Oreochromis niloticus: one gene and its partner. The protein of the gene in region 1 binds, or shares a complex with, the protein of each later gene. Links are inferred from orthologs where the notes say so. Each region holds a gene or a part of one and is shown on either strand. Other genes may lie near its edges.

Region 1 (7,909 bases):
GAGACAAACAAACAGAACTTATTACATACTTCCTTCCCTGGGAGGGTCCAAAACACACACACGCTGTTTCAGTCGTATGTTTGTTCCCAAGTGTTTTATTGTATTCAAATTTAAGATATTATTTCAAAATCAAGATCACAATCTAGTCAAAAAACAAACATTTATAAATTAGTAGCATGGGGCCACGTGATCCTTTGATCTCTGCTTTGCAAGGCTCTACACCAAAGCTGTAATTGTTTAACAGCCTCTGACAGTATGTGAAGGCAAATTCTCCAGCTTTTCTGTCCAGCAGCACATCTGACACACACTCCTCATGCTTCCATAACGCTGAATCACACGTCTTATGGTCCTTATCTGTTATCTTCCACAATAATGGTCCGTCTTGGGTAGACGTCCATGTCCACAAATATATAACGAAACTCATATTTTCCAGTTTCAGGATTCTGTAAAATCAACAACAAGAAGACTGGTTGATTAAACACATATAAAAACATCAGCGATGTGATGGCCATCACATATGAAACTAGGTGAAGATTTAGGAATACACACAGTGCCACTTACTGGGGATTTATGCTTCAGTGTGAAATCTACCCATCGAAGCCGTTTTGTAACTGCAAAATCCTCTGAAACTATGACATAACCTGACATGCACATGAATCTAACTACATGTCACAGCCCGCAACCACTGTGATTGGTCTGTCCATTACAGCCGATTTCTTCTGTGCATTTTTGGCTACTTTTTTTGCAACGGCTTTTCAATTTAACTGTGAGAGAATAACAATCACTGCCTCAATATGGGGAATAATAATTACAACATCAACATAAATTTACCCGTAATACACCCGCACAAGCATAAACGCTGGCAACAACGAGCCTACGATAGGTAGGTTACATTGTAGGCCCCACAAAAGCATCTTTTCCACTAGGACCTACTCGGCTTATCTCAATTTGAAAATTACTCAATTTTCTATTAGTTGGTAGTACTTGTTACTAGGTACTTTTTGAGTACCTACTAGTCTGGATTTCCAAGCGAGCTGAGTCAAGCTGAAAATATGACATCAATAGACCGCAAGCCACTGATTGAGCAGCGAGTGACATCACTGGGTGAGTCATGAGAGCAACTCCTTCATAAGAACACAAACCAACAGCGTGGTCCAATGATGAGATCCAGAGTTTTAGCGTCAGTTTGGTAGCAGGTAAACAATTGGCTTGATGCCCTCCTGTGAAGGAGGTGTGTGGAGGGGTGGTGCAGTGGGCTCGAGGGCAGTGGCAGGGTGGCTGGCTAATTATGCTCTCCCTATTTAGTGATGCCAAAACCTGGAGTGATGAGTGCAGTGCTGGTTCACATCTCCATTTTTTGCATTGTGTTTGTGTCACATACAAATAACGCCATGGGACTTCCAGGTCGCCTTGCTACAGTGACCCCACCTACATCGAGGTGGTACTCAAATATGATTGAAAATGACCGAAACTGAATAGAGCAGAGTCGAGCTGAGTAGGTGCTAGTGAAAAGACACAAAACATTCACCGCAGAAGTGTCAATCAGTGCTTGTGCATGTATGTATTTCATAAGCTGGCTTTTGAATGGCAGAATACCAACCTCTTTAGACTCTGTATGCACTGTCCCCTTCACTCCCGGCTCCGAGCCCTCAATGTAAAACTTAAGTCTCATATGCTTCATTCCATCCTTCAGGTACTCGATATGACTGAGGAGAAGAGACAAAGACTGCCATTATAGATGTTAAGGCTACCTTAAATAAAAGTGGGCTTTGTTGCTGAACTTGTTTGACAAATTAACAAAACACCAACCTGACTTGCTGCCTCCTTCCTCGACGGGTGGTCTCCCCGTAACATTTGATTGGCTCACCAAATGCACCAATCACCTACATTTTCAATAAACAAGAAACTTTTTATATGACCTCATAAGATCATCAAGAGGACCTTAAATACCGAACTGTAACATTGTCAGCCTGGCCTCATGTTTGACAGTCACTAATATCGCTCGTACTTCTGGGTGTGACTTGACTTTATCGAAGGCTCTTCCATACACTTTATTTGGACTCGCGGATGAAAACAGCTCTTGGAACACCACATACAGCAGCCCACCTGAAAACACACACAGACGTCATTTCAAACAGGATGATGAATTGCCTGGGTTATGACTGCAGCTTTTAAATTCCACTGTATTCACCTGTCACTCCAAGCCCGATGAGTACCACGATCAGGTAGGTGAAGTCCCTGCCAGCTTCTTTCACTGGAAGGCATTCAGTGTTGAGGGTTATTATGCAACAGCTGTGCATAGTTTTCATTTAAATGAGCAAAGTTAGAGTCTCACTAATTAAGGCAAGTGTTTGTTCAGTTATTCAGTAAATAAACTCCTGGGCCATTTTAAGATATTTCCTCTGCTGCTGGTGATAATCAGAGCGATTAATTTCCAGATATAAGCTATAAATACAATAATCGTGTATTTTTTAGTCCCAAAACTGCTGCTGCAGTGGGATAAATCACTGCTTGGTTAAATATACTATATTTTCTCCACAGTGCCTGCGAACAAAGCCTAATGGTATGCTTTGAAAATAGCAGGCTATCATGAAACTACGCTGCTAATATCTGAGTACATATATTAGCACGACTTAAATCCTTTTTATTTCCTTGCCTTGCATACCTTTTTGTGCAGCTGAAGGCTTTGGACTCCCACTCTGGTACTTGGACACTGACCTGTCTCGGTCCTCGGGGCTGCTTTTATTTCTGGCTGTAAAGTCGAGACAAATACCCCGCCGTCTGTGTGTTTGTATTAAGCAGCTTAGCACAGGCGAATTAGCCTCTAGTCCACTGTGTAAGGCCAGTCTTGATAATGTTGACACTCTCCTGTGCGTCTGGATAAGCACTCTGACCTGTGGTGCTCTGTGCTGCAGATTTCGGTGCAGGACCTTCAAAACCTGAATATAAGCCATGATTTGATTTGAGCAAGCCCCTTCCTAATATCGCAAAACTACACTAACCAGCCTACTGTGTGGTTTAAGTAAACAAAACGGACTTAGTATACATGAATTCACAGCTCACAGCACTAAACTACTCCAAAACACTGGGCAACAGGACTGGGTCAAGTCAGTCGCCGGATTTGTGCTTCACCGGCGCACAATATTGCCGTCACTCACCGTTAAAGCGACAGAGCAGCAGTGAAACGTCACTCGCTCGTCATCATCGTCTACAGCAAAAACGTCTTCAACAAAATAAAATAAAAAGTCCGAAATCGGCTGAATAGTCAGGTGATAAAAAAAAATCTTTAAGAAAAAATTTACAGTTACAACTAGAGAATGCATTTCCTGAAGAAATTGCAGTATAAGAAATATTTGGGAACCTTGTTAAATTTAACTGACATACACCAAATCATTCACCTATAAACCAAAGTGCTGAACTGTTGAAAGCTGAAGTTCACACAGACGGCGAAGTTTCAAAGTTGGAAAGTAACTGAACATCTTCAAAATGTACATTAGAAAAAAAAAACAACTGAGTAATGACCAAAGAAAATTTAGAGTCAGAAAAAATCTGAATTAATATTGAAATCTCATATTCTTTAAATCACTTTAAGAGTGGAATTATGTTTTTTAAAGGTCTAAACATAAGAATCTCAAATTAAAAAAAAAAATCTGCAAAACATCTGCTGTGTGTGTGTCTGTGTGTGAGTTTCAGCAAGTGAGTGAATTACCATGTAAGAGGGACATCAAATGAGCAGGTAAATTAGTTTTTAATAGGTTTTTTTTAGACCCTTTTAGACGTTTTTTTAGACGTTTTGCTACAGTCTTCACACAATGGGAAGTGTGCTAATTATGAATGTATTTGTCAGTTTTGGAGGTAAGTTGAATTTATGTGCCACAGACACTGACAAAATCTACTGCAATTTACTTCTGACTCCATGCGCTCTGACGTAATTTCATACTTCAGTTAATGGTTGTCATGTCCAAATGGTCCAAATAGACTCTGGAGCATTAGAAGAAGCTTTAGAGTAATTTTTCAGAAATTAGAAGTACAATACAAAAGGTCAAAACCTCTACTGGGAAATTTGATTGGAACAGGTTTTGATTTTATTCACATATTACACAGATGTGTTGCTGGCTGAACAGGCTCGGCAAGAGCAATGCCGTGCCTGGCCTATGTTCAAGTATCATTAAAGTTAGAGCTTGTAAAATCTCACCATTAGATGTCAGTAGATTGCAGATTCCAGTCAAGTGAATTCACTTTTCTTATCCCTCCTAATTCAAGTCTATAAACCAAGCTACAGTAGCTCTGCTAACTCTGGTAATGCTGACTGTCATTCAGTATATCTTTGTTTAATCTCTTTATTTGCTTTTTGGACAAGTGAAGTTACAAAAATCTCTTGAATCATATTTACTTTGGTGGACAGAAAATAACCTTTGTAGACTTTTTGGGGTAACTTGTCAAAATGTAGCACTTTAGTATTGATTTTTCAACAATGAATTTTCTGCTTTTAGCTGTATTTAGCAACCGAAAATATTATGGCAACACTGAGAAGACAAATCATTAACATTGTGTGGTCAGGAGGTGTAGGTGTTGCTGTCTTAGTTCTCTCTCTGTAGCAGAACTTGAAAAATCTGAGTCAGTTGTCCTGACCAGTTCCTGTCTGAGGTTCAGACCATCAAGAACGTAACTATAATATTGAACCTGAAGTATGATCTTCCTACCCACCAGGGAACCGCTGTGGGTTCAACTCCTCCTGCTGAACTCATAGAGCAGCAAACCACCAGTCCAGAGACAGACCCTAATGTAGCATCACTTTCATCACTCACTCCTGAACTCCTGTGAACCATAACAAAGGTGGCCTCTCTAAACATCAGTAACTAAGAAAACATGGCAGTAGGTATCCTAGTAATTAATGACCTCATTATTTAGGGTATTATTATTATTATTATTATTATTATTATTGTTGTTGTTGTGCTTTACACAGAGGTCTCTCCCTCTGGACTGTTTAAAGGGCCAGTTTACATCCTGTCAGCCTTCAAATTTATGCATTAGTCCCCTCCACCATTGTTTTGCTGCTCATGTTCACATCTACAGTAAGAAAATGGAGATAAGCAGGCAAATAATATAAAAAGACGATGCTGCAGGGTGACTTTCTGTCTTTTCTGATTCACCAGCTTGTATGCATCTTTTCACAGGAGTGACTTAAGGACACCTGTAGCCTACACTTATCTACTTATATGATAAATAAAGTTTAGTGTAATGTAGATAAAGTGTTTTCCTTTAACTTGCATAAAGTATTTCCATGGAGACCGTTCTAGAATTCTGCATTAAATAAATAAAATAAAAATAAATCGGACTTTAATTTAATTTAATCAGACTTTAAAAATAGCTCATCTGTACAAGAGAAACCATTGAGTTCAGAGTTTTTTCTTTCTGCATTTCACATTACACAATTTACGCAATTTGGATGGTATTTGACAGTTTTTGTTCCCGACTGTGATTCAACAACAACATTTCAATTGAAGCAAGTAGAGGAATCTACAAACCCATCAGGGTATGTGACAGTTTTTTTTCCTTCTGCATTTTAGCAGTTTAAAGAATTTGATGTAGTTTTAAAAGCTGACAGACTGAGAATAAACTTAAGTAACAATCAGTAACTTCTTATTTCTTTGACAGGTGCTGTTCATGTCGAACAACACCTGTCAAACACACATTTACGACATGGCTGTGAAGATCTGCTGGCATCTTCTGGGCTACAGGGCTCAGGTAAGACTGAGATCCATCCAAACCAAAGCTGATGTAAAATATCAGGTGATTTCTCAGGACCTGAGAGTGGTGATGTTTAAATGTCTCCTTTTATTTTTAGATTGCAATGATGATGGAGTTCCTCAGACTTCAGCAGGAAAGCAAAATCCCATCACACATCACTGCTGAAGACCTAAGAGATTTTTTGGTGGAGAAGAGCAAACAGACACTCAGAGAGCAGTGAGTAACTGTGATACTGACCATCCACCTCAAACATGACAGTCTGTTTGTGATGAAGTGTAAATGCTGAGAGAAAACCTCTGTTTATTTTCTTTTGAAGGCTTTGGGAGTTTGAATTGGGGGATTTTGGAGACAAAGAAGCCAAACCTCTTCTGAAACTAGTGAGACTAGAAAACTCACAAGACTTGTAGTAACTTGGAGGTTTATTTATTTTGTTCACATAACATCTAAACAAAACTGCACTGTAAATGTGTTTTCTGTTTCAGGTGTGGGCAGTAAATGCCATTAATAAAATTTTCCAGAACCACATTTCCAGAGTCCATACCTCCTAAATTTCAGTGAGTTACATCTGACAATTATTAACAGTCCAGCTACAGTTTCTGTGATGCTTTACACATGTTTAAAAGATCATTCTTATAAAATTTTTCTACAGAACAACTAAACTCCTCAGCATGGTGAGAAATTACGTTGAGATTCTTAAAGAGAAGCAGCAGGTACGGCATAGCTCCAAACTGCTCACTGCAAGAGGTGATAGAGGTAGTTCCCCGCATCTTACAGGGCTTCTGGGAGCTTCCTCCTCGCCCCCTCTTGAACATGGCCTCCCAGAGTTTGATCATACTCTCCACCAGTGTCACAAAGGCCACTTTGGATCGTGTCACTAAAACTCTTACAGCGATGGAAAGCAGGCCACCGTGTCACCATTGAAAGGGAAATAAACAGGTTTTCCAATGGTGTAAGATTTATTGCCCCAAATCATTGTTACAACAAAGAAATTTTCAACCAAAAACTAATTTGCTACTTTTTTACATAACACTGTTCTCTTCAGGACTTTCAGATATGAAAAGTATATTTACGTGGATTCACCTGTGTTTGCACCATTTTGTTATGAGCTGTTGCATTTGTGGACGCCAAAGAGAAAACTTTCATAATAATGGCTGGATACTCAGCTGACTATACCTGTCTTCCGCATGTAGCACAAGCGTTTACTAGTATAAAGCTGTAGAATTTCAATTTACAAAGCCAGTTACCAAAACTGTTCATGCTTCCATGAACCATTGAGCAAGGCATATTGCTTGATAGATGCTATTAGGAATGCTTTCAAAAGGCATCAACAGCACAAATGCAGTGGATATCATTCACAGAACAATGTTTTCAAAAAGGATGTAAACATTTTTATTTCTGCTGTTATTATGTTGTTATTATTATGATTGTAGTAATTTGACATTTTAATATGTTTTAAATGAGACAAAATTAAATGTTCACACTTCAGATGTTTTGGTAAATCCAATTTTTTATTTGATTGGTCACTCGTAACTTTTTATGGGTAAGATGTTATAATAACCTGGTTCACTCAGAGACGCCGTCTCCTAAAAATCTTCTTTAATTGAGTTCAATTCAATTCAACAGTATTTACATACAAATGAATTGAACTGAACTGAATTCAAGAAAAAAACCCAACAATCCCCTATGAGCAAGCACATGGCGACAGTGGGGAGGAAAAACTACCTTTAAAAAGGTTCAGGGAGGGGCGGCCATCTGCCACGACCGGTTGGGGGGGGTTGGAGCCGATAAAAAAACAAATTACTTGAAGTAACTGTTAATATTTAGTTGTATATTACTGTGATTTTATAGGAGACGGAGTTGAAGTCAATTAAGTGAATAGTCTCAAAAACCATTTGCGCTTCTTTTTCATTTTTGGTTTTTCTTCTGGCATGTTGTCATCTCAGGCCTCTGGATTTTCTTCTTTGGTAGAACTGGCCTCCTGTTTTTCTTGCTGATTCTCCTGGAATGTCTGGACTTGGGCTGGAGAATTTTCTGATTTGTTAACGCTGGCCTCTTTTTCTGAACTTGACTGATGTGCTGTCTCTTTTTGGCCTGAAGAATGATCTTGATTGGCAATGTTGGACTCGGTTTCTTCCTTTTTTCTTGTCTCTTGCAAGGA
Region 2 (8,630 bases), on another chromosome or scaffold:
ACCAGTCTTCTATACTGTTTACAGTTAGTTAATTTGAGAGATATGTACAGTTTTAATCTGTTAGGATTATACTCAGATCTTTTCTGTCATGATAAGTTTTGTTTCTGTGTTTCGTTTGAAATTAACTTCATATTGTTCTGGCTGCAGTTGTGCTTTCCAACAGCTAACTTTACACAATGCTATCATGTCAAATCAGTCACTTTAAAATCATGTCATCATAAAAGTGCTCAGAATCTTTAGGCGCAGGACAAGAATCTGTTTGCAGATTACTTACAGGTAAATGGTCCTGTTGAAGAGCAAGGCGAGGGATTACTGATTATTGTTATTGCCAAAATATAACCTTGAGTTGGAATAATATTTTTACATTTTATTTGTTCTTTAAAATGTATTTGTTGCAAAAATAATAACAGGACTTCTTACCACAGATATCTGCTGGCTATAGTGGAAGCATTGGTTGTTGTCCTGAGAGGTCGGTCTGCTGACTTAAATCTGACAACCAGACTTCCCAGATTGGGGATTAATTTGATTCTTTTTCCTTTTTGGTTATTAGCAAACATAAATGTCAGAATCTGCTGGCTCTATTCCTGAGTGCTGCCTAGTTGGTATTACTGTAGAATTTCTTCAATGAATGACCCAGCGTTTCTTTTTTCTTTTCTTGTGGCAGATGTGAAGCAGGACATGCTGGAAACTATTGTCCCAAAAAGTGAACATGATTCTGTAATGGTGGTACTGGGTGAGCACAAGGGAAAGGTGAGCAAAGTAACCTCACTGCTTTACATATATATATGTATTTGTTTAAATCTGATTAGCTGTTACTGATCACTATTTTCCCACCTGATTCAGGTTGGCCGTATTCTTCAGCGGGACAAGAACAAGTGCAGAGCGATGGTCCAGCTCGACAGATACGAGGATAAAGTGTTCACATTAGACTATGACTCCATTTGTCACTATGTTGGGGCAGCAGCAGACCACTGATTTCGGATGTTTACTGTAATATTCACTGTCCTTTTTCCATCCACTTCATCCCAGCTGTTTTATTTTTTTTCATTATTCAAGTATTATGGACTTTAAAAGATTTCAATTTTGTAATAAAAACTTGTCAAGATTTTTTTTTCCTTGTACATATGGCAATGCAACAATTGAGAAAAAGCTGCAACAGATCATTTTCACAGTAGTCTTAAGTTTATTATCATGTTCACTGATAGGTCTAGTAACAATGAGAAGTGAACCTTTGGGTCATATAAAAACATATTTACAAATGCTCTACACGGCAGGAGTATGAATAGAGTAGCTGTCCAAAAAGTTCAGCCTTTCATTTCTGACATGTACACATTTCACAATGAAACAAAAGCCTGTCAAACTATGATGTTTAGCATGTGAGCATAATGAAGACCAACTGTAGAGTTGTGGGTTTTAAGATGCTGTCTTCATGGTATCTGCTTTTACTCCTTGGGTAGTTGGTTTGCTGCGTTAGCCCGAAGAACAGCTCCTGGACTCGGGTACGGACGCTGCTGGAAGAGAGGCCCCGCTGCTGTGGTGTCTGCACCCGTTTTTGCTTCATTGCGTTTGGGCAGCCCACTTGACCACGACCCCCTGCAAAAATGAATACGTTTGTGTTTTAACTGCATTTGTAATCAGCACTACAATGTCTTCTGTGGCTGAGAAGGGGTTTTGTCAAGCCTGAGAAAACAACCTTGATCAAATTGCAATGACAATCTCAGCTTTGTTTTAGGAATATTTTTAACAGAAACCCTGGAGGTGTAGATTTTTTTAATAGACATTTTCACAGCAGAGAATTTGGCTCATGGTGGCAGGAAAACTGCAAATGGGGTAAATTTAGTTAATGATGGCTACAGTATGTTGCATTTACAGCAACAATAAGACTGACTGCACATACAAGGGGTATGGAACTAGCGTGCTGAAGTAGTATGGAGCCATTCTTTAAGTTGTTTTTATACCTGTGCTTTCTCTGACATGCCAAGCCAAAATGCTCTTTAAAAAAATAAAGTGTATGGCCCCTTCCCAGTGTTCACACGTTCCCACTCTGAGGGCTGAGAGCTCATAAGGATATGAGGCCTTTCTACAAGTCTTTATTTTATGCTTAAGGGAATAAGTGAGTTGTGATAAAAGCTGGTCAAATTTGGTCAAATATTAAGGAAATGTGCTACAATCCTGTATATATTTTCCTCTTTAGCAGAGCATCTTTTATGAAAATGGGAGGAAACCTAATCCAGTTCACTATGAACATTATGCTACTGCAATAAAATCTGCCTCTTGTTGAGGTATTGTGCCTTGCATGAAATGTAGATTTATGTGAGCTCCGTAAACCAGGGATATCAACTTTGCTGATTACCATTTTGAATTTTGAGGGGACACACTCGAACACTGTAGCTGTGCTGTGTGAGGGTTTAGTTCTTTCGTCTAAGATAAAAATGTATGATGGGAATTGATTTGATCTGTCTCTCATAACTATTTTTTCAACAAGTGCAACACAATGATTCTGGCAAAATCGGAGTACCAGAGAACGACCCGTATATAGCTTATATCAAGGTGACCATCTGTACTGTACCTTGGAGCATCAGAGTAAGCACTTGGATCCATGGGGTCCATCTCGTCATCTTTTCTACCTGTAAAAAATATTAGGTGTTCAATATTTAATCATGTGAAAGGCGCCGATGTGTAAACATGTAATGAATCAGATGTAAACATTACCTTTTTTGCTTCGACTGTATGGTGCTGCCTCATCTCTTCTCTGCTTTCTTCTGTCTCTGTCCCTCCCATCATCACGCTCTCTGTCTCTGTCCCGGTCCCTTTCCCTGTCCCTTTCCCGATCTCGATCCCTTTCCCGATCCCGGTCTCTGTGTCGTTCTCTGTCCCTGTCTCTGTCTGGTTTCTCAACTTGCTTCTCGCCTTTTTCATCTCCTCCTTCTACTAAAAACACAAGTTAAGGCAAGGATCACAAGATTAGCCATGGCTGAAATCTGTCAAAAGCAAACTGTATTCTGAGATTGTACATGCAAAGTAACACACGTCTACTGTAAGAGGACTGAAATTGTGATCATTAGTGCCTCTTGAAAACATTACATTATAGAGGCTGAATAAAAGCATACCTCTTATTTTCTTGGCAGGTTTTGTTATTACTGCAGTTGGGTCATTTGGGGATAACCAGGCAACCATATCTGTCTCGACATTCCAGTAATAAGGTAGACCACTGTGTAAGGAAAATAAAACATTAGTGATTAATATTGTAACCACAAAATTAAATAAAACTTACTTAACAGTTTAAAAATACACTTTAGCTCTCCATGACAGTAGTTATAATGTTCAAGGAGAATTTGACTTCTCAAGAATAAAATGAGAAACAAGAAAGAAAAAGTAATTAGCGCATTCTGATTGTGAAGTTTATAATAATCATTTTGAATTAAAGTATAAAATTCTTATTATATTAAATTATAGTATATTAAGTGTACATACCAAGCAGAGTCAAACACTTTGTACCAGTTTGGTGGTAGATTCTCCACTCTGGTGGCTTCATAATCTACATTGTTGTCATCATAATCTTCAGCAATAATCTCCTCATCTGCCCCTGGATTAATTGAAGGGGAAAAGGTTTTTAAACAGCACAAAACATTAGGAGAAATCCATGAAGGACAGAGACCCAAATATGAAATCTGTTATACTACCTTGCTCTGTTGGTTTAACAATCCCTCTCTTGGCCAATCGGGCCAGCAGTGCTGGAGGTAAAGGCATCCTGAAAGACGGAGTCCATGTGAAACACTGTTCATATTACGGCTGAAATTCACTTGGGGTACCAAAATAACAGTTGCAGAACAAATGCTCATAACACATTATTACACAGTATTAAAATAGTCTTAGATTGGTCATAAATCAGATAATATAATACATATCATTTACTTTCAATAATATGTACCCTTTGATTAATTAGGACATATAGAAACTCATCACTTACACACAAACCACTGAGTCACATGTGGCCATAAAGTAAAATGCACATGATTACCACCATTATATAGTTTAGTGATCTTTAATATAAGCACATTTTGTAACAGTTTCATTACTTTAATGGGTTATTTTATATATTAGACACAAAATTGCAAGTCTGTTAATTTTGTTTTTTTTTAATCATCATTAAGTTTAATATTTTTGGTCCACTATTCATCTCACACTTTACTGAACACTTGGTTTTGAAACAGTTCCCATATTTACCTGTTTTTTATTCTTCATCTTCTTCTTATTATTATCATTATTTTGTTTTGTCCATTTTCTCTGAGGACATTTCTTGTTTTCTGATAAGCGGAGATTATGCCTTTACTGTAATAATTCTATCAACAGCAGCTTTAACACTGCCCAGAACCACATTTTTGCAGCAGACTTGTCACGTCTGTAGACCATCATTTCCTGCAATACATTACAGCTGGCTGTTTTGATGTCGATATCACAATGATATCCATGAATTGTAGTTTAAAGCATGCATCCTGGTAGGTCTTAGAATGACTAAACTCCTGAACTGTTATGTGTCCTGTCATCATTTAAAGTAATCCTCTGCTCATAAAACTTAAAGTAACTTCACAATCCTAATAAATAAATCAGTTTCTTAGGTTATATGGCCATCCTACGTGAATTCCAGGTAAAACTTTACTAGCTCCTTGTCTTATATGTATGTCCATATATGTATTTACATATATACACATACATATATATATATATATGTTTTCTTTGTAATAATTTGTACCATGTACAATACGAAATGTTTCCTTTAACAAGAAACTAACACGCTTGCGGTGCATCCGTGGCTGCAGATGTAAGAATAACGCAATAAACCAAACTATGCGTCTCCAAAAAGCATCCACACCACACAAACACAAATGTTAACCTTTACTTCAAAAGACTGAACAATAAGAAATAATTAAATTCTTACCTTTTTTTAAAAAAAAGGTGGCCCTTTTTTATCGTCAAGCTAACGATACCTCTTTCCAAAACAGCATACACGGCGCGCTTAATGATGACGTAATCACGTCCTCTTGACGAAGACGACGACGTAAACAGACATGGAGGAGTATGCCCGAGAGCCCTGGTAAGATTAGAATTTAAGCGTTTGTTTTTATTTTAGAACTAATTAAGTTGGAGTCAAGTGTTGACTTTTTAATTTCATACTCAGTTTTGATGTGAGAGTGAGCAGAAAGGCTCTGTGGGTGTTGCGGCCTGCTTATTTAAGGCATATAAAAAAGATAAAGCTGTTATATGGAGGCGCCCTCTGCACACACAATAAGCTGGTAGAGTCACCTTTATCTGAAAATGTCGCTGTTTTTAAGTGACAGCTGGAGTTAGGATAGAAATTAAAAATAGTGGGTATTTTAATCTCAAAATATGGTTCCAAACAGGCAGTACATGAAGCTTTATTTATTTATTTATCAAGTTAAGACACACCTCCAGTCAAGGTTGATCCCCTACAAGTCAAACTTTAATGACAGAGTTCAAAGGAACGGGATAAAGAATCCAGATATCAGCCACTTCATTAGGCATACCCGTCCACCTACTTATTAATGTAAACCTACATTCTGTCACTTGGCAACAACTTAGTGCATTTAGACATATGGACATGGTCATGACGCATTGCTGAAGTTCAGGCTGGAGAAGTTCAAACATTTGATTTTTATTGATTTTGAACATCACATGATTGTTTTTGCCAGAATGGCCGATCTTTTCAATATTTTCGAAAATGTTTAACTACAGCCTTTTCCCCACAAAATAATTTCTAGGGTTTTATAGAGAACAGCGTGAAAAAGAGAAAATATCCAGTGAGCAACAGTTATATGGTTGAAAAAGCCTTGTTGATGTCAGAGATCAGATGAGAGTGGTCAGACTGCTTTGAACTGAAGGCAGCAGTAACTCAAATAACCACTCCTTACAACTGAAGTGTGCAGTATAGCATCTCTGAATGGACAACATATCAAACCTGGGCTATGGCAGGAGAATACTAAATTGTCACTTCCCTTCTCCCCACCTCATTAGTTCTTTCACTGCTGTTTGACATATTCATTTATGATGTTTGATATGTTTTCTAACACAAACATAACTCAGAGGTGAGTATTTAGTTATATTTAAGGAGCTAGTTCTTCATCCTTGGGTAATATACATTTCTCGGCCAGAACTGTGCCCATATTGTCTTCGGCGTCATCCAGACCCCGATAGATAACTTCTGCATTTTGTATATGTACTGGATGTTAGTTGTCAGATATATCCCCATTGTCAGTTTTCCTGTCACATAAATATCCATTTCTCTCTTAACCCAGCCCCTGGAGGATAGTGGATGACTGTGGAGGTGCTTTCACAATGGGTGCAATTGGAGGAGGGGTGTTCCAGGCGGTCAAGGGCTTTCGAAATGCCCCTGCTGTGAGTTCAAAACACAGGTTTTTGTTTGTTCTCTGGCTTGTCAGGTTGTTAAAGGCAGAATTCAACTGAGCTCTAATATTTCAGGGTGTCGGACACCGGCTGAAAGGGAGTGCAAAAGCAGTGAGAGTTAGAGCTCCACAGATTGGAGGTAAGGAGTTCCTGTTTTTTGTTACACATGGCAGTTAGTTAGTAATATACCATTTTTTGTGTAGATTAAATTGTTTAGGTACAGTTAGCTTCATACAAGTAGCTGAAGTCTGGTTACTTCTTATGTTGCAGGTAGCTTTGCTGTATGGGGAGGGCTCTTTTCCACAATCGACTGTGGTTTGGTTCGTCTGAGAGGGAAAGAGGATCCTTGGAACTCTATAACCAGTGGTGCGCTGACTGGAGCCATCCTAGCAGCACGCAGTAAGGAGCTCATTAGCTCAAAAGAAACAAGACACCACTGTGTCTCTCTGTGTCAGTAAATACAGCCCCAATTCTGAAAAAGTTGGCACGCTGTGTAAAATGTAAACAAAATTCCAATTTTTTTTACAATTGGGTTTCTACATTGGGATAATTAGTGTGACTCGCTGAATATTGCATTTTTCTTCAGGTGGACCTCTAACAATGATGGGCTCTGCAATGATGGGGGGGATTTTGCTCGCTCTCATTGAGGGTTTTGGGATTCTCCTAACCAGATACACAGCGCAGCAGTTTCAGAACCGTGAGTGAAGTTAATTATGTTTCAGAAATGATATTTAAACTGCACAGAACCAATGGTTTATCAGTAGTTTAGCAAAATGTCACATGATTAAATGTGTGAGTGGTTTTATACCCCTGTACTGGCGTCCACTCCTCAGTTATGGCTGGACTTCGGCATAGGGCAACATTTTTCATCTCACTGGTCCCATTTTTACTCACCCTCACCACACTCGTAGCATTTTTTGTTTCTATCAAAATGTTTTAAAGAACCTGAGGAAAATCGTCCACTCTCTCAAGGTTCTTGTGCAGTTTAATTTGTGTTTCCTGTTTGATTAATTTTTCCCAAGAACACAATTTCTCACAATGTTAATGATATAACAACTTATAAAAAATGCTGAAGAATGTGAGACTATTAAAATAGTTTTTTTAGTGTTACTGTGAATAACCAGTCAAATGTATGAGCATCAGGTTTCCTCCAGCACGGCTCAAGTTAGATAACCTGCTGAGACATATCTTATTTTGGATGAGATGAGCCGAGGGAAGGCTACCAAACCAAAAAGCCTGAAAGCACAGCAGACCTAGACAGTAGTAATATTCATATAAATGTTCCTGAGGGAAACATAGATTATATCTTGATTACATGCCAGTGAAGCATGAAAAACTGACTTTGTTGTGTCTTCTTCCTTGATTTCTCCAGCAATTCCCTTTGCAGACGACCCTAGTCAGTTACCGCCAAAGGATGGAGATCATCAACATCAGGGGCAAAGGGGGCAGTTTCAGTAGAGAAGGTTCAGGACTGAAGCCAGCTGTGGACAACTGAAAGGATAATAGGAATGCCAGCACATGAACAGCATCTACCAGGATGACCAAGAGGTGGAGATACTGGTCCCTACTGGATGCTAATACATACCTCAGGGACAAATTACTGTTTCAGTTATTTATGAGTAAATGTTAATAATTTCCTCATGTTTGCACCACCTGAAAAATCAATGTTTTCAATATTTATTATTATTTTCTTCAATGTGTAGTTCTCAAAACCACATAGTAAGTTAATTTAGTCATTATAGCAACATGTATCTATTAAAATAAATAATTTTCAGCCCATTTGTATTCTTGGAGACACTGCTCAAGGAACCAAATTAGTTTTATCCAAAAACTGCTTTATGCTTCCAAAGATCTTATACTTGGGTTGATTATGTATTTTAATGACTGAAAGGCAGAAAGTTAAAATAAGAAAACTGCACATCTTTAAAGTTTTGCATTAGAAAGATATTTATTCGAATATTAACATTAATATTTATTTACCTGTGAGGTGTTAAAGAGGACATTTGAGTTTATTTTTGTAGAAACTCAGCAAAACTTTTTTTTTTTTTTAGTTTTTGTTGATTATAAGTGTTTGTCTAGTCTGTTGTCTGTGCACCATTTGTCACTTTAATTGCCGCATAAAGCAACAAAGCACTTTTTAAAAACCTGAAAGTCTCTTATTTCCTGAAATTAGCACCATCCACAAAAAAATTCTATCAAATCGATCT

The links.
Region 2: timm21 (region 1) and timm17b share a complex: the UniProt entries of both Homo sapiens proteins name them as parts of the TIM23 complex. The link is inferred for Oreochromis niloticus from reciprocal best matches to the Homo sapiens genes TIMM21 and TIMM17B.

The regions. Positions count from the first base shown.
Region 1 is NC_031974.2:20,962,321-20,970,229, reverse strand, and holds timm21 (mitochondrial import inner membrane translocase subunit Tim21), read right to left. Parts: upstream 3,149-7,909; 5' UTR 2,955-3,148; coding exon 2,666-2,954; intron 2,255-2,665; coding exon 2,192-2,254; intron 2,107-2,191; coding exon 2,009-2,106; intron 1,884-2,008; coding exon 1,810-1,883; intron 1,707-1,809; coding exon 1,601-1,706; intron 444-1,600; coding exon 351-443; 3' UTR 80-350; downstream 1-79. UniProt on the Homo sapiens protein: Participates in the translocation of transit peptide-containing proteins across the mitochondrial inner membrane.
Region 2 is NC_031984.2:10,674,807-10,683,436, reverse strand, and holds the start of timm17b (mitochondrial import inner membrane translocase subunit Tim17-B), read left to right. Parts: upstream 1-5,009; 5' UTR 5,010-5,069; coding exon 5,070-5,095; intron 5,096-6,314; coding exon 6,315-6,414; intron 6,415-6,498; coding exon 6,499-6,562; intron 6,563-6,693; coding exon 6,694-6,822; intron 6,823-7,009; coding exon 7,010-7,120; intron 7,121-7,795; coding exon 7,796-7,881; 3' UTR 7,882-8,630. Other genes in the region: gpkow (G-patch domain and KOW motifs-containing protein), read left to right, coding at 665-750, 844-975; pqbp1 (polyglutamine-binding protein 1), read right to left, coding at 1,443-1,593, 2,570-2,627, 2,713-2,931, 3,111-3,211, 3,475-3,586, 3,684-3,750. UniProt on the Homo sapiens protein: Essential component of the TIM23 complex, a complex that mediates the translocation of transit peptide-containing proteins across the mitochondrial inner membrane.